2 linked regions of the Arabidopsis thaliana genome follow. The protein of the gene in region 2 interacts with the protein of the main gene of each other region in a pairwise test. Each region holds a gene or a part of one and is shown on either strand. Other genes may lie near its edges.

Region 1 (7,415 bases), on a different chromosome or scaffold from region 2:
ACACATACATCTTCACATAGACACATAAATTGCTCCTGTCTATAACGAAAATTGTCATCTTATTGTTTTCTTGAATTGTGTTTAACCTTCTTTTCCTTTGACCAAAAATGTGAAATTTGATAAAACGTTTAAACAAAATCTCCTATATTTAAATGCTCTCTAAATTAATAAATCATCAAAGAACCTTAATATTAACATATTTGAAAATTTCAAGTTTCTAATTAACAAGCTCAAAAAGGTTTTGGTTAACGACCTAGGTAAATAGATTCTGTTTGAGCAAAGACAAGCATATGCAATAAAAATTTAAGACGAGGGACGTGGTTTGAGAAACAAGACGCACTTGCACAAAATCGACCTGGTTTTGGTAAGTTGATAGGAACTATAAGTTTCTAATTTTAGGACTTACTAAGAAATAACTCACGAGAGAAATAAATGTGTGTAGAAAGAGAGAAAAAGGGACTCTCGTAAACATTTTTAAAAGAAGAAAGAATCTCAACATTTACGTGTAACCCTAGCTAGTTATCCCGACAGGTACTCGAAAGGGCACTATTAAATAAACATCTATATTTTATACTCCGTATAAGTTAATTTATAAACAAGTAATCGGTAAATAGAGACCGTCAGTTATATACATATATATATATATATATATATATATTGTTTCTTTGACAAAAATATGTGTGTATATATATACAAAAATTCACAGAAATCAGCACTTGGAATCTCAAAGTTATCGAAAAGATCAAAAAAGGACCTGCTCGAGTAGGTCACTTTTGCGTGGCCGTACATTTTTATAGTTTTTCATTATTATTAAAATATCAATTTAAGATGTCATATGTTGTTAAACAGAAGATAATTTTTTTTTTTTTTTTATAAAATTTGAAGTGAACGCCACAAGAGATTTTACGTATGAAAGCTAAAGCAAATAAAAGATGAAGCAAATTTGTTAGTTCAACATTGTTCTTTATATTTCAAAATTTGGTTGTTGTTATAGTTCAGGTAATAAATATTTGCGGGGGTGTCTGTCTAAACAAGAAAAATGGATAGTTGAGGAAAAGAAGAAGAAAATGGGTACAATGTGATGTCAGTTGGTGGAGTGGCAGATCGATGGGATTTTCACTGCTCTTTTGGCTCAAACCCCTATGTCTCATGTGCTTCCCTCTATTTGTTTTTTACATATATTTTTGTGCGAAACTGAAAATATTTTTTTCAATAAAAAACCTATACGTAATATTTCTAATCTTTAAATTTCAATTATGTGGCAGTATAGAAAACAAAGTCGTATAAATTCTATCGATAATATGCATTATATGCAAATTCTAATTCGGACGATGACACAAAAATATCGCTAGTATAAAACTAAGCTACATGTCATGGTGACATGATTTTTTATAAATGTTTGTGTAAGAAAAAAAAAGATAAACATTGTTCATAAATGATGCTTTTGAAACTTCTTCGTAATTAGACAAATACAGTCATGTATTTGTTATAGTATAAACTTTGAAAAAAACAGGGATACGAATAGTGTTATGTTAGAATAAATGTAGGAGTATGTATAGTGGGGAAAAGATGAATAGAACCATCGTTTTCGGTCATTTTGATTCTTTATACGCTTCTTTATGGAGAGAGAGAGGTCAATCAAAGAATCTGAAAGATTGATCTTATGACTTTGTCAATAGGTCCATGCAGGGACCATAAGGACCCCAACATATGAAGATGTTTTGCTAAGTATTGAATCATGGAACAAATCAACGAAATAGTCAAAACAAAAGGTCTATCTAGATAAATTATAAACTGCTAATTGCTCAATCGATATTACTTAATAATGACTAAACATGCCGAGGCAAACATTAAATTTGGATTAGAATTGCATGTTGCATGACAAAACTTATATATGTATTCTTACTATTTTCTTAATTGTTCACAAAACTATCATCTATATCTATCTTTCTATCTATCTATACAAGTGATGGTACACACACATGTCCTACCACTCTGACTCTACCGACATTATTGTCCTGAGTTTTTTTCTTCCAGAAAATCTATGTCCGAATCCCCAAATTGATATGAATACGATACTATGAGCACGATAACTCCGGAATATAATCTAAGAAAAAGAAACAAAAAAAATTCTGAAAAAGAATGTAATCCGTTCTCCAGTGTATGTATCTCTGGTTTTTTACTCGTTCTCCATTATTAATTTATGACGTTTAAGAAAGACTCACAAACAAGATGAATAAATGATACAAGGGGATTTTATGGCATATGCAGATTTTGTTTTGAAGTAATAATGTAACAAATCGACATTGAAGTACCTTCCACAATGCGCACTATGCACAAGAAAAGACTCGTCAAAAGCAAAGCAAAAGGTGGGGATGGCTCTTAAGGTCAACAGCTTAAGAATCTTGAGGAGTCTCGAATCTAGTCGGTGTATCGATACCCGCCATACAGCAAAGTCCACTGATCAAGATGAGAAGAAAAACGATTCCCTGCAAAAAGAAAAAGAAAAGGACGAGACATAATCAAAGGCTTTTACGAAATTTTAACACATTGAATTAAATTATCTTCCAGCTAGATATGACCAAGATGCTCATTAAACTTGTCCATTCTATGATGTTTATGAATCTTTCTTGAGAACGATGAATACCAAAAAAACACGAGTAAAAAGAGTAATTACCACTAGTATGCCCTCCAAAAGTGATGACTTAAATTTGCAGAGTTCATCACAGCCAGTAGCAATTTCAGGAGTACTGTTTCCTTTAGCAGTTTCAGCTAGAAACCTTTGGAGAGTTTTGTAAGATGTGTACCAATAAGGATCAGAAACATAAAGAGCTGTATATTTACTGCCGGATTGTTCTACAGAACTAACAAGTTCCAAGAAGCTTTCACCTGCAGAATAGGTCAAAGAATTGCTTAATTTCCTAGTTCTCAAATGATATCTAATTGTTAGTATTATTTTGTAATGATCTTTCCACTTACGCTCTGAATGTGACTGTCCAGCTTGACTATTCGATTCAGAACCCTCGGAACAGAGCACAACCAAGTCAGTTTCTCCTTCTTTCCTTGTTTCTCTTCTAGCAAGCAAATGATCCTGTCAATTATTAATGAGTATTAGAAAGTGAAGTTAAGGGGGTGATAACACTGGGAAGGCATGGGATTAGGGAAAATAAAAACTTAAGAGCAATGAGTATTACTTTGAAAGACTGCAAGTCTGAAAGTTTCTGAATTGTTCCATCCTCAACAAAGCACGAATCTGAGAACACGATATTGCTGACTCCTACATTGTTGGGACAAGCTTCTTTAAGCCCTGAAAGTAACAAATTCTCCATCCTTTCTTCCTCTGGAGCAGCAATATATGGGAATGCCAATGAGAAGTTGGAAGCTGTAAATAGATTCTGTTGAAACAAAGACTTGGATGTTAGAGTATTGTAAACTTTATATCAAACAACTATGTCAGAGATCTGTGTTACGGATGCAATTTCGAAATTTCTTGTTGAAGAAAAGAAAATTTGCACTTACATTCAATGTGTTAACAAGGGCAGGATCTGAGTTCCTTTTTGAAGAAACATCAGAAGACAGTAACTGCAGGCGGAAGAGAACGTGAATATTAGAATTCTCAGCATAACACAGAAGATACAGAGCAAAGACGATTAATTTCCCGCAATATTAAAACATCAGTTTCTTTACAATATCACAACAAGAAACCAAAGATCCACAAGGTCATTTATGCTAATGTTAAAACAACAATACTACATCATTCAATTACCTCTCTGCCTATGAACACAAGTGCAACATCAACAGGTTGCTCAAGCTTCTTCTCTGAGCACTAAACAAAGGAGACAGTAATGACAATAAGAAAAATCATTTGACATCCAGTGAGTTGTAGAATTGAAATCATAAGATCATGAAGAAGAAACCATACCAGAAAGTTTGACCAACCTCCTTGAGTGAAAACAGAACCAACTAGATCCTTTGCAGACATGACCTGATAATTTACAGCCTCATCCAATTCACCATTAGCAGACCTGATTTTCAGAATCACATAAACCAATCAACCCAGTAATCTAAGCTAACTCACATCAGATATCACAAGTCCCAGGCTTTTTACACATTTCCATCAATCAAATTGAGAATTATAGAGAAAACAAGATGCATAACTGGAGATGCGGAGACCAGAGGAAAGCAGGAACTGTGTTCGGAGAAGCCAATCCGATTTCAAAGAGAGAGGCCACAGATAGAAACACCAATAGCGCCACCGCACCAATTTGAATCTTCTTCATCTTCGTCGTCGAAACAATTCTACCGGAGACAAAAGGAAAAAAAATCAATCGAACAATTCCTCACGCCTAACGAAACAATCAGCAAATTCAAAGATAATCACAAACCTAGAGAGATCGAGATCGCTTCCAGAAGTCGATGTATCAGTAGATTTTTATCGAACTTTCAAATCCAGAGAAAGAAGAGATTCATATCTCCGATCTTCAAATCTGGGCGACACATATGAGTAGTCGACATGTAAGGAATTAACGGCGTCGTTTTTGAAACGAAAATCGCTAACCGAGATAACCGGTTTCGGTTATGTTCAGATATTAACCGGTCTGAAGTTTTGGGCTTGATTAGGCTTTTAAAGATTTTCCAATACGGCCCAAAATTTCGTGACTCCGTTAAGCGTCCGTCACTCTGGACAAGAAACGGAAACCTCCTTAAATCTTATAATAACTTCGTCACGATTGAACGGAATATTTCGTTTCCTCATTTTTTTATTTTGTTGCCTCTTCTGCAACGCGATCCCGCCAAAGACACTCTTTACTTTCTCCCTCACGAAAATTCTCAAATCGTCGTTCTCTCTTGATTCACCGATTTCGTTCGCCGGAAAATTGCAATTTAGCATCAGAATCGTCGAGCCATTTTGTATTATGAAAGTCCATTGAAGTAACAAGTAACGAGAGCTGCGAGGTTGAGATTTTACGATGCTTTGTGTTTCGTTACGAAATCGAATACATAATTGGCTTCGCGACTACGTTAGGCTCCAATCTGTCGTTTTGATTCTTATCTATGCTCAGGTAAATCCGTAATCGCTTTGTAGTTGTTTCATTTCCTCCGATTTCACGTTTTTTCTCGTGAATTGTTCGTATCTGTTTGGGATTAGGGTTCTACGATTTCTCTGTCGATATTTGTTTGTTATTCTTTTAATTGTGGTTAGAAGTGCAAGAAACTCATATTGATGAATCATTTGTTTCAGATAGGGTGCGCGTTGATCGGTTCACTAGGGGCATTGTACAATGGAGTCGTGCTGATAAATTTGGCGATTGCGTTATTTGGGTTAGTAGCAATCGAGAGTAATAGCCAAAGTCTTGGCAGAACCTATGCGGTTCTTCTTTTCTGCGCCATTCTTCTTGATGTCTCATGGTTCATTCTCTTCTCCAAAGAGATTTGGTATGTCACTATCCTTGGAACAGCCGTGCTTGTGATCATGATCAAATATTTGGTTTAAGAGTTTGCTCTGTCTTGTTTAATTTTCATTGCATCACATATTGTAAACTGTCCTGAATTTCTCTTGATTGGCTCATCATCTTTTTGAACTGATTGATCTTTAAACCTTTTTTTTTGCAAATCTTTGCTATGTCGTGTTTAGATTCTGTTGAGCCAGTATTCATCTGCTGCCTATAACTGACAAAAGATTTAATTGTTAATGCAGGAACATTTCATCTGATATGTATCAAGTCTTTTACATCTTCTCTGTGAAACTCACCCTGGCTATGGAAATTGCTGGGTTCGTTGTGAGGCTATCGTCCTCTCTGTTATGGTTTCAGATCTATAGGCTGGGAGCTTCTATTATAGACTCTCCATTTCCCCGTCAATCAGATTCAGATTTACGGAATAGCTTCTTAGAACCTCCTCTTTTAGCTAGGCAACGTTCACGTGATCCAGAATTACGAAATAGCTTCTTACAGGCTCCTGCTATAGCTAAGCAACGTTCACGTTCTGACGAAATCTTGGAAGATTCTATTGACGAACCTGCCTCCTACACTCCTCTGTTAGATGGCGGCCTAAGCAATATCACTTTGCCCAATGCAACACAGGTCTTTTTATTTCTACCTATTCTTCTCTTAAGTTGTTTGTGTACTCATTGTAGTTGAGGTTTTTATACTTGGTTTGTCTATGGTTTTACCAATTGGGTTTCCAGATGCTTCTTTTCGGACCTTTCTTTTGAAACTGTATGCAATATAGTGAGAATTGGATTGAACTATCTAGATCACCCAACCATGCTTTTTAGCTCTTTGCCACTCTAGGTTAGGTGAAACTTGTTTCTCACTAACAAACAAAGGCCACATAGTATTGATATTACATCATAGTATGCTGCTTTTCTTGTCTCAGTACTCCTCTAAAACTTACACAGACATAGCAAGTGGGTTTTCAACCTTTTGTAGGTGATTAAGCACCATTCAGCTGGAGACATTTACAAAGGATCCCAATCATCTGCTGCAGAAGCCTCTCGAAAGAAGTCTCCTCTATCCAGATCCTTAGAAGCACTTCATTCTAGTCTCTGTTGATAGAACATCTAATGATTGTGGACGGTACTATACTATACCTTGCTTTTGGTTAGGTTAACTTTCACACTTGACCTTTTTATAGACATAGAAAGAACACTTGTTGCTTTGGTATATCCTTGGACTCAGTAAATTGCATGTGTTTGTCAATCTACATTACTACTTGCAGCACTGCTCTCAGCTTTTATCATTTTTGCCTGGCAGTTTCCAACTCACTTTTGCAGGAAGATAGCTTTTGTCACGAGCAACTTCATTCAACAATTCTAAGGCCATTCTTTGTTTTCAATTTGAAGAATCCAGATCCGAGATTTACATAGTGGATAACAAGCAAGAACAATGCCTTTATCATCATTCATTTTACTCGGAACTGTATAGAATTGGGGTTATTTGGACTACGAATGTACATTAGCATTCTTTTCTGTACATGAAAAATAGGTGAATCGGAGGGTTAGTATAAACTTCAAAGATAGTTTTTTCATCCAAAATGTTTGGTAAACAGTGAAGTTTTTATTGCAGATTTTTAAAGTAGCAACATGATTTGCCTATGGGGAAATATTCTTTGTAATATCCGTAAGAGAATAGAAGAAACAGATATAAACATAATGTTATCATTTTATAAGATCTAATGACAACTTGAGGAGACTAACTTGGTGCCAGATTCCAGCCATTTTAGTCTCTCTATTTGACTCGAGTTCTCCAACTCATATGATTAAATGAATGATGAATATGGCGTGGCATGGGGCCTAATGTTGAACCACCGGCCCATGTGAATTGCGAAGTTGCGGTACTAATTAATTAATTGGGCCTAATAGTAGCCAAGGAGTTTCGTGCAAATTAATTCTTTGACCTATAAAAATTGGTATA
Region 2 (6,646 bases):
ATTTTACTAGCATTGAATTTTCTTAAGGAAGATGATTTTATCAAAGAAGATGTAATTTTCATAGTGTATGTGGAGGTCAGAAACCATAACAGAATACTTTGTTTCTTATCTATCTCTTAAAGTAATAACAAACCTTGAGTTGTTTTTCTTATTATCAACAAGTACTAAGAACATTAAGAAATTAATCAAGCGGTTTTTAGCTACGCAAACCGAGGCAAAACACTAATCAACCTTTAAAAGCCTCAAGGTACTTCGAGATTTTACAACCTCATAGATTTGTTTCTTTATGTTCTCTTTCTCTAGCTAAACCGGATTTCTGATGTGGAGATAACAACTCTACGATGTATTACGACTTAAGAAGGTAAGAGCCAAAGCTTAGATTGCCATGGATCGAATTCGTTTGTGGATTCGATGATATCTTGGTATTTGAATTTGCCATCAACGCTTAATATGGACATATTCTCTCCTGTTTCATGATTTGTGTTTCTTCCATTATGTGGTTTTCGTTTCCAAATGTAGTAGTAGGTGAATGTGCATGGGGATATAGAGAGAATGACGAGTGCTCCTAGGATAGGCACTAGTATCCACATTTCAAGTTTTTTTCTAATTAAAATAAAATGTCGAAAATAATAAGGTTGATAATTTTTGTTTCATAAAAAATTTAGATATTTGAAAATTAGCCGCCAAACTTTTCTCTAGTATTAAATTTAATGTAAGTGGTTAGCTTAATTGTATATATAGATATTTAACTTTCTCGAATAACAAAAAAAAAAACTGAAAACATAAGAAAAGAAAAGGCAAAATTTTAGCAAAAATGGAAAAAAGTATAAACAAAATTTGATCTAATTATGTTATTTGTATTTGTTATGTAATAGGTCAGATTAATTTGTCTCGTCTCAAATTCCTATAACACAATTATGTTAATAATCCTTTTGTTCCGCACATAATGTGTAAATAGTAATTTTAATTAATTAAAACAATTATTATTTACAAACTATATATCTAGTAACTATTTGTATTTGTTATGCAATCCCCTATATATTAATGGGAAGTACTTTTAAAAAATAACCTTATCTCTATGTATGATTAATAAAAATATCATGTTAACGTGTCATTCTCAGATAGCTCCTCAATCCATTTAATTTTTATTTCAACCACTTAAAACAAAACAGATTACTTCAACATAGTTTTTGTCAACAACATTGAAATATCTTTGAAATGAGATAAAATAGGTGATTACATACCACATGAGAGGCTAGTTCACTCCCTTTATTCACGAAATTAAAAACAACAACGAAAGTTATTCAAGAAACCCTTTCGTTGATACAACAAAAGGGTTTCAGTCAAACTTAGGCATTGGCGTTTCTTGGCCTCGTCTGACTAACAAACCTCCTGCAGTACATGGGACGACCATGGACAGAAAAGCAAACCTCAATCCATTTAATTAAACACCCAACATTTATTAGAATATTTATAAATTTTGTAATTTGTTGTACTTATGATTATTTTTTCAATTAATTTATGTTTTTATTTTACTCAATTAATTAAAACAACAATACAAATAAAATATGCAATTAAAAGATACAAACCTATACAAAATGGATCACCTTATATTTTGTGTATCGATTAATATATCAAGACATATATTATAAATCATGATAAACATAAATATTAATATATATGTAAGAAAATTTGATAAACATATATAGAACAACTTCAATATTAGCAATAAACTAAAATTAATTAATAATCCTTTTATTTCGCACATAATGCGGGTTGTTAACTAGTTTTTTTTTTTATATTAAAAACTTATGTAAGCAAAATGACTAAAACTATAAATTTAGATTATGTTGCAATTTAGGCTTTTCCTGAACTATATTCAAGCACCTAGCGGAGACTCTTCATTTTTTGGACGGTATGTGTGTAAGTTTCTAGGAACAGACTAAAAATGTGTTTCCTCCATTGTAGAGGGATGCACACACTCCTGAGAGATGTTAGAATTTCTTATGCCCTGGTTTCATACAAACCAGTAACAGTATCTTCGTCAATATTGAATGTATGCAACTTATTTTTGGATGGTATGTATGTAAGTTAAATTTCTAGAAACAAACTTCTTCATGCCCTCGTTTCATGAAACCAAAGGTGTTATCTCACGTCCCGTCTCCTCCCCGGTTAGGATATTTCTTTTCTTTTCTTTTGTTATATTACTATTTACGCACTCGTGCCGGTTTAAAGCAATCGGTCAAGACAATAGGACGACACATAAGTTTTCATTTCGATTAAAAAAAAAAAAACATAAATCCAAAAGAAAAAGAGGGTAACAAATGATGGTTTAAAGCAATCGTTCGCAAGAAGAGAAGTTGAAACCGCTCGGTGCCAAATGAATGTATGGCTCCGTAACTAAGTTCTCCACTTCATTAGTTCTACAAAAGGTTATGTCATGCATAACATTTCATGAAAAAAGAAGAAAGATATTAGGAAAGTGTAAAGCTTTGCTTTTAGATTTTGTTTACCTCATCTTGTTGATTATGGCCTTTAGATTGTTCACCTGCAAGACAAAAGAAAAAGTATATAATAAAGCATTCATTTAATACAAAGTACTATTATAAAGTTTTAAAGAGATGTTGTGTCTCGTGTATTGTTTAATTACTTACCTCCTTCCTCTAGATCAGAGGTCCATAAAGTGAGGTTATCTCTGAGAAGTTGCATGATAAGTGTGCTGTCCTTGTATGAATCTTCGTTAAGACTGTCAAGCTCAGCGATTGCTTCATCAAACGCTCGCTTTGCCAAATGACATGCTCTAAGGGATTCAAGAAATTTTCAAAACATGTTTATAACTTGGATGTAGTTTAGCCTGATAGGTTACTTGCTCTTAACGGACAATACCTTTCCGGAGAATTCAAGATCTCGTAGTAGAAGACAGAAAAGTTGAGAGCCAAGCCGAGTCTTATTGGATGTGTTGTAGACAATTCCGTGCTAGCAGAACTCGTTGCAGCCTATATTTAAACAGAAATATCAGCTTTCTTTCCTAGCTATTCAGCTAATTGATCAAGAGAAAATATGACAAACATACTTCATACGCCTTGAGTGATAGGTCCGCAGCTTCCTCGCGATCAGCACCGGACTTAAATTCAGCCAAGTATCTGAAATAATCTCCTTTCCTAACAACAACAAACAAAATAATCAAAAACCAATTCAAGTGTGTGTCATATACTTTCTTGTTTTGATTTTAAGTTTTTAATTCAAGAATGAGACTAACATTTTGTAGTAGAAGACGGTGGATTCTCCCGAAGTTGCGAATGGGACAAGATGCTTATCGATGACAGCCAAAATATCGTAACAAATCTTGGAGAGTTCTTCTTCAACTTTTGTCCTGTAATCCTTAATCCTCTTGGCATTTTGTTCGTTTCCTTTCGATTCTTCTTTCTGCTCGATCGAAGAAAGGATCCTCCACGATGCTCTCCTAGCACCAATCACATTTTTGTAACCAACAGATAAAAGATTCCTCTCTTCAATGGTGAGCTCTACATCAAGAGCTGCAACTTTCTTCATTGCTTCAACCATCTCTATTTACAAGAACAACACAATAAAGCATATTACTCATCAAATCAACTCCAAATAAAACAAAAGTAAATTTTTTGAATTTGACTTATATCATAAAGTACAACAATCCCATTTTTTTAGTTACCAAACTATGAGGTATATCAAGAAATTTACATTTTAAACCTTTTTCATCGCGTAAATAATAATCGAATAATCTCCGATTTTACGCAAGGAAACAAAGAAAAACTATATAGAGATTCCAATAATCCAAAGTCGTTCACAAACTCTTTATTTACTTGATTTCTAAGTAACCATTTTTTACAGTCAATACATTTTCAGACAAAAGTATGAAAGGACAGATCTAACAGAGTTTTAAGAGATTACTTAGAAATTTCAAACATAAAAGAAACAAGTACGGTCTTTTGTTTACCATCGTATCTCTCAGCTTGCTCGTTGAGTTTCGCCAAGTACACTTGCTTCGCTCTCTCGTTCTCCATAGCTTCTCCTTTCTCTCTTCTCTCTCGAATTGAGACTTTTGTTCTGATCAAAAACTGCTGTCACGATATAAAAAGAATTTTGGCGGTTTGGTTTAAGACAGGAGAAGCAAATCAACGGCTGAGATTAAGTCTCTAGATAGTGGAGAGCCTCAAATAGTGATAACAACGAATCTCAACCGTTGGATTTAGATGTTTGGTGTGCCCCATGCTTCTTTGTTTTTTCATTGGTTATAATAATAACTAGGGGTTCAATCCGGATAAACCGATCTGATCTGAACCGAATTATTCAATCCAAAAACGGAACCACACTTTCAATGAATTGTTTTTAATATAATTTTCCTTTGTACCTTATACAATGATTTTTTTTAAAAAAAAAATCACATATGTCTGTTAAAAAAGTTATTAATGTTTAATTATGCATATATTATTTTCTACACTAACTAATAACAATTCATAATATTTAAATATTTTCACATATTTTTTTTTGGAATTTACAATTTCTAAAATAATAATGAATGCATTAAAAAAATAGAACATTTATTTTTCGTGGAACAAAAAAACCATTAATTGTTGACAAAAAAAAGTCATTAATCTCCAAAGAATAAATGGAATATATATAAAAAACCGAACAAAATTTAAACCAAACTGAAGAATAATAGTCAGATCTTAAATCAAAATTTCGTTGAAATAAGGATTTAACAAAATCAAAATCAAAATTCAACCAAATTATCTATTTTAGTTTGATACCATTATTTATATAAACCAAAAAATCTATAACACAAAAACCAAACCGAATCTAAACCGAAATACGGAGTCGAATAACACTTGTACCCACTCTTAAAACCGTCTCAATGAACCAGAGACTGTCTCGTTTCTCCCGCCAATTGATAATACCATGAAATTAGGGTTTACGAAGCTTTTAATCGTCTCTCCTTCCCAATTTCTTCCAGGTAAAAATCTCTCTAAAACATTGAAATTCATCGATTCATGTGTTTAATTTGACGCGAATTTGATTTCAGAATGGCCGACGAAGAAGATTCTCTCTCTCAATTCGATATATCCAAAGAGGTAACAGATTCAATTTTGGGAATTTATCGGAATTTTGATTTCCGAATATGATTTGGTATTGAGATTGATTTTTGAGTTTGATTTGAATGCAGGAAACGGATAAGTTAGTTTCAGAGGTGATTAGATTCATACTGTTCAAGTTTCACCAAAGCTCAGGAACTCCAATTAAAAGAGAAGATTTGACTCAGATTGTTACTAAGAACTATCGTCAACGAAATCTCGCTACACACGTGATTAACGAAGCGAAGAAGAAGCTCTCTAATGTCTTTGGTTATGATTTGAAAGAACTTCAACGTGCTCGTTCTTCTTCTACTGGTCAATCTAGGCTTCCTCAGTCACAGAGTAAGATTTTGGCATTTGTTTATTAAGAAGCGGCTGCACCGCGTCTCGGCGATATAGCTAAATGTTTGTTTTCGTTCAATTTTTAGGTTCTGTTGACTCGAAATCGTATGTGCTTGTTAGTGAATTGCCGTTGGAAGTGTTTAAGAAACATGTTGTGGATGAAACCACGAGTCCTGTGACTGGCTTTACGTTTGTGGTTCTTGCCATTGTGCAGCTTGCAGGTGGTAAAATCCCTGAAGGTATGCTGTTACTCGGTCTCTTACGACGATCTTTTTTATGGTTTCGATGTAATGTTCTATGCAAAGTGGTAGAGTGGAAGTCAAAAGTACATTATAGAGATTTGTTTAAGAACCTAAAGTTGTAGTTAGAGAGCAAAGTTGTAGAGTAGAAGTCAAAAGTACATTAATTCGATCTCTTACGATCTTTTTTGGTTTCGGTGTAGTGTTCTCACAATTCTGGGAATCATAGTTAGAGAGCAAAGTTGTAGAGTGGTAGTCACAAGTACATAATATAGATTTGTTTAAGAACCTAAAGTTGTAGAGTGGAAGTCAAAAGTACATTAATTCGATCTCGTACGATCTTTTTTGGTTTCGGTGTAGTGTTCTCATAGTTCTGGGAATCATAGTTAGAGAGCAAAGTTGTAAAGTGGAAGTCAAAAGTACATTATATAGATTTGTTTAAGAACCTAAAGTTGTAGTTAGATAGCAAAGTTGTAGAGTGGAAGTCAAAAGTACATTAATTCGATCTCTTACGATCTTTTTTGGTTTCGATGTAGTGTTCTCACAGTTCTGGGAATCATAGTTAGAGAGCAAAGTTGTAGAGTGGAAGTCAAAAGTACATTATGTAGATTTGTTTCAGATCCTAAAGTCTCTATGATGAATTAGTTTTTAGAGTGAAATCAAGAGTATATGATAGTCACACACTTGATTTAAGAATTTGTTTGTTGACGTCTTTTTTCTTGCATCTATATGTTTCTCAACATCCTTAGAAACCCTTTGGCATCATTTGAAGCGAATGGGATTGCATGAAAATGATGAGCATAATCCTGTGTTTGGGAACAACAAGCAGACCCTGGAGACATTAGTCCAACAAAGGTGAGACCTTTCGTTAACCTTGTGCATAACTCTGCAAGGAATAAACGACTGAGGTGGTTTTCATAGTTCTTCTCAAAAGGTTTCGTCCTTTTTACAGGTTCT

The links. Proteins that work in one complex are often made in the same cells at the same time.
Region 1: the proteins of GRF11 (region 2) and AT3G13410 interact in a protein complementation assay, tested with the Arabidopsis thaliana proteins (one large-scale study listed by BioGRID).

The regions. Positions count from the first base shown.
Region 1 is NC_003074.8:4,359,753-4,367,167, forward strand, and holds AT3G13410 (2-C-methyl-D-erythritol 4-phosphate cytidylyltransferase), read right to left. Parts: upstream 4,565-7,415; 5' UTR 4,386-4,564; intron 4,300-4,385; 5' UTR 4,281-4,299; coding exon 4,159-4,280; intron 4,026-4,158; coding exon 3,923-4,025; intron 3,827-3,922; coding exon 3,767-3,826; intron 3,583-3,766; coding exon 3,520-3,582; intron 3,396-3,519; coding exon 3,195-3,395; intron 3,092-3,194; coding exon 2,980-3,091; intron 2,890-2,979; coding exon 2,678-2,889; intron 2,490-2,677; coding exon 2,397-2,489; 3' UTR 1,883-2,396; downstream 1-1,882. Other genes in the region: AT3G13420 (uncharacterized protein), read left to right, coding at 4,971-5,063, 5,243-5,436, 5,699-6,083, 6,432-6,554.
Region 2 is NC_003070.9:12,741,564-12,748,209, forward strand, and holds GRF11 (general regulatory factor 11), read right to left. Parts: upstream 4,186-6,646; 5' UTR 4,041-4,185; coding exon 3,974-4,040; intron 3,567-3,973; coding exon 3,260-3,566; intron 3,162-3,259; coding exon 3,074-3,161; intron 2,997-3,073; coding exon 2,887-2,996; intron 2,801-2,886; coding exon 2,655-2,800; intron 2,549-2,654; coding exon 2,499-2,548; 3' UTR 2,424-2,498; coding exon of another isoform or gene 2,418-2,423; 3' UTR 2,159-2,417; downstream 1-2,158. Other genes in the region: AT1G34770 (melanoma-associated antigen G1-like protein), read left to right, coding at 4,936-4,990, 5,077-5,108, 5,201-5,450, 5,537-5,689, 6,439-6,544, 6,642-6,646. UniProt on the Arabidopsis thaliana protein: Is associated with a DNA binding complex that binds to the G box, a well-characterized cis-acting DNA regulatory element found in plant genes.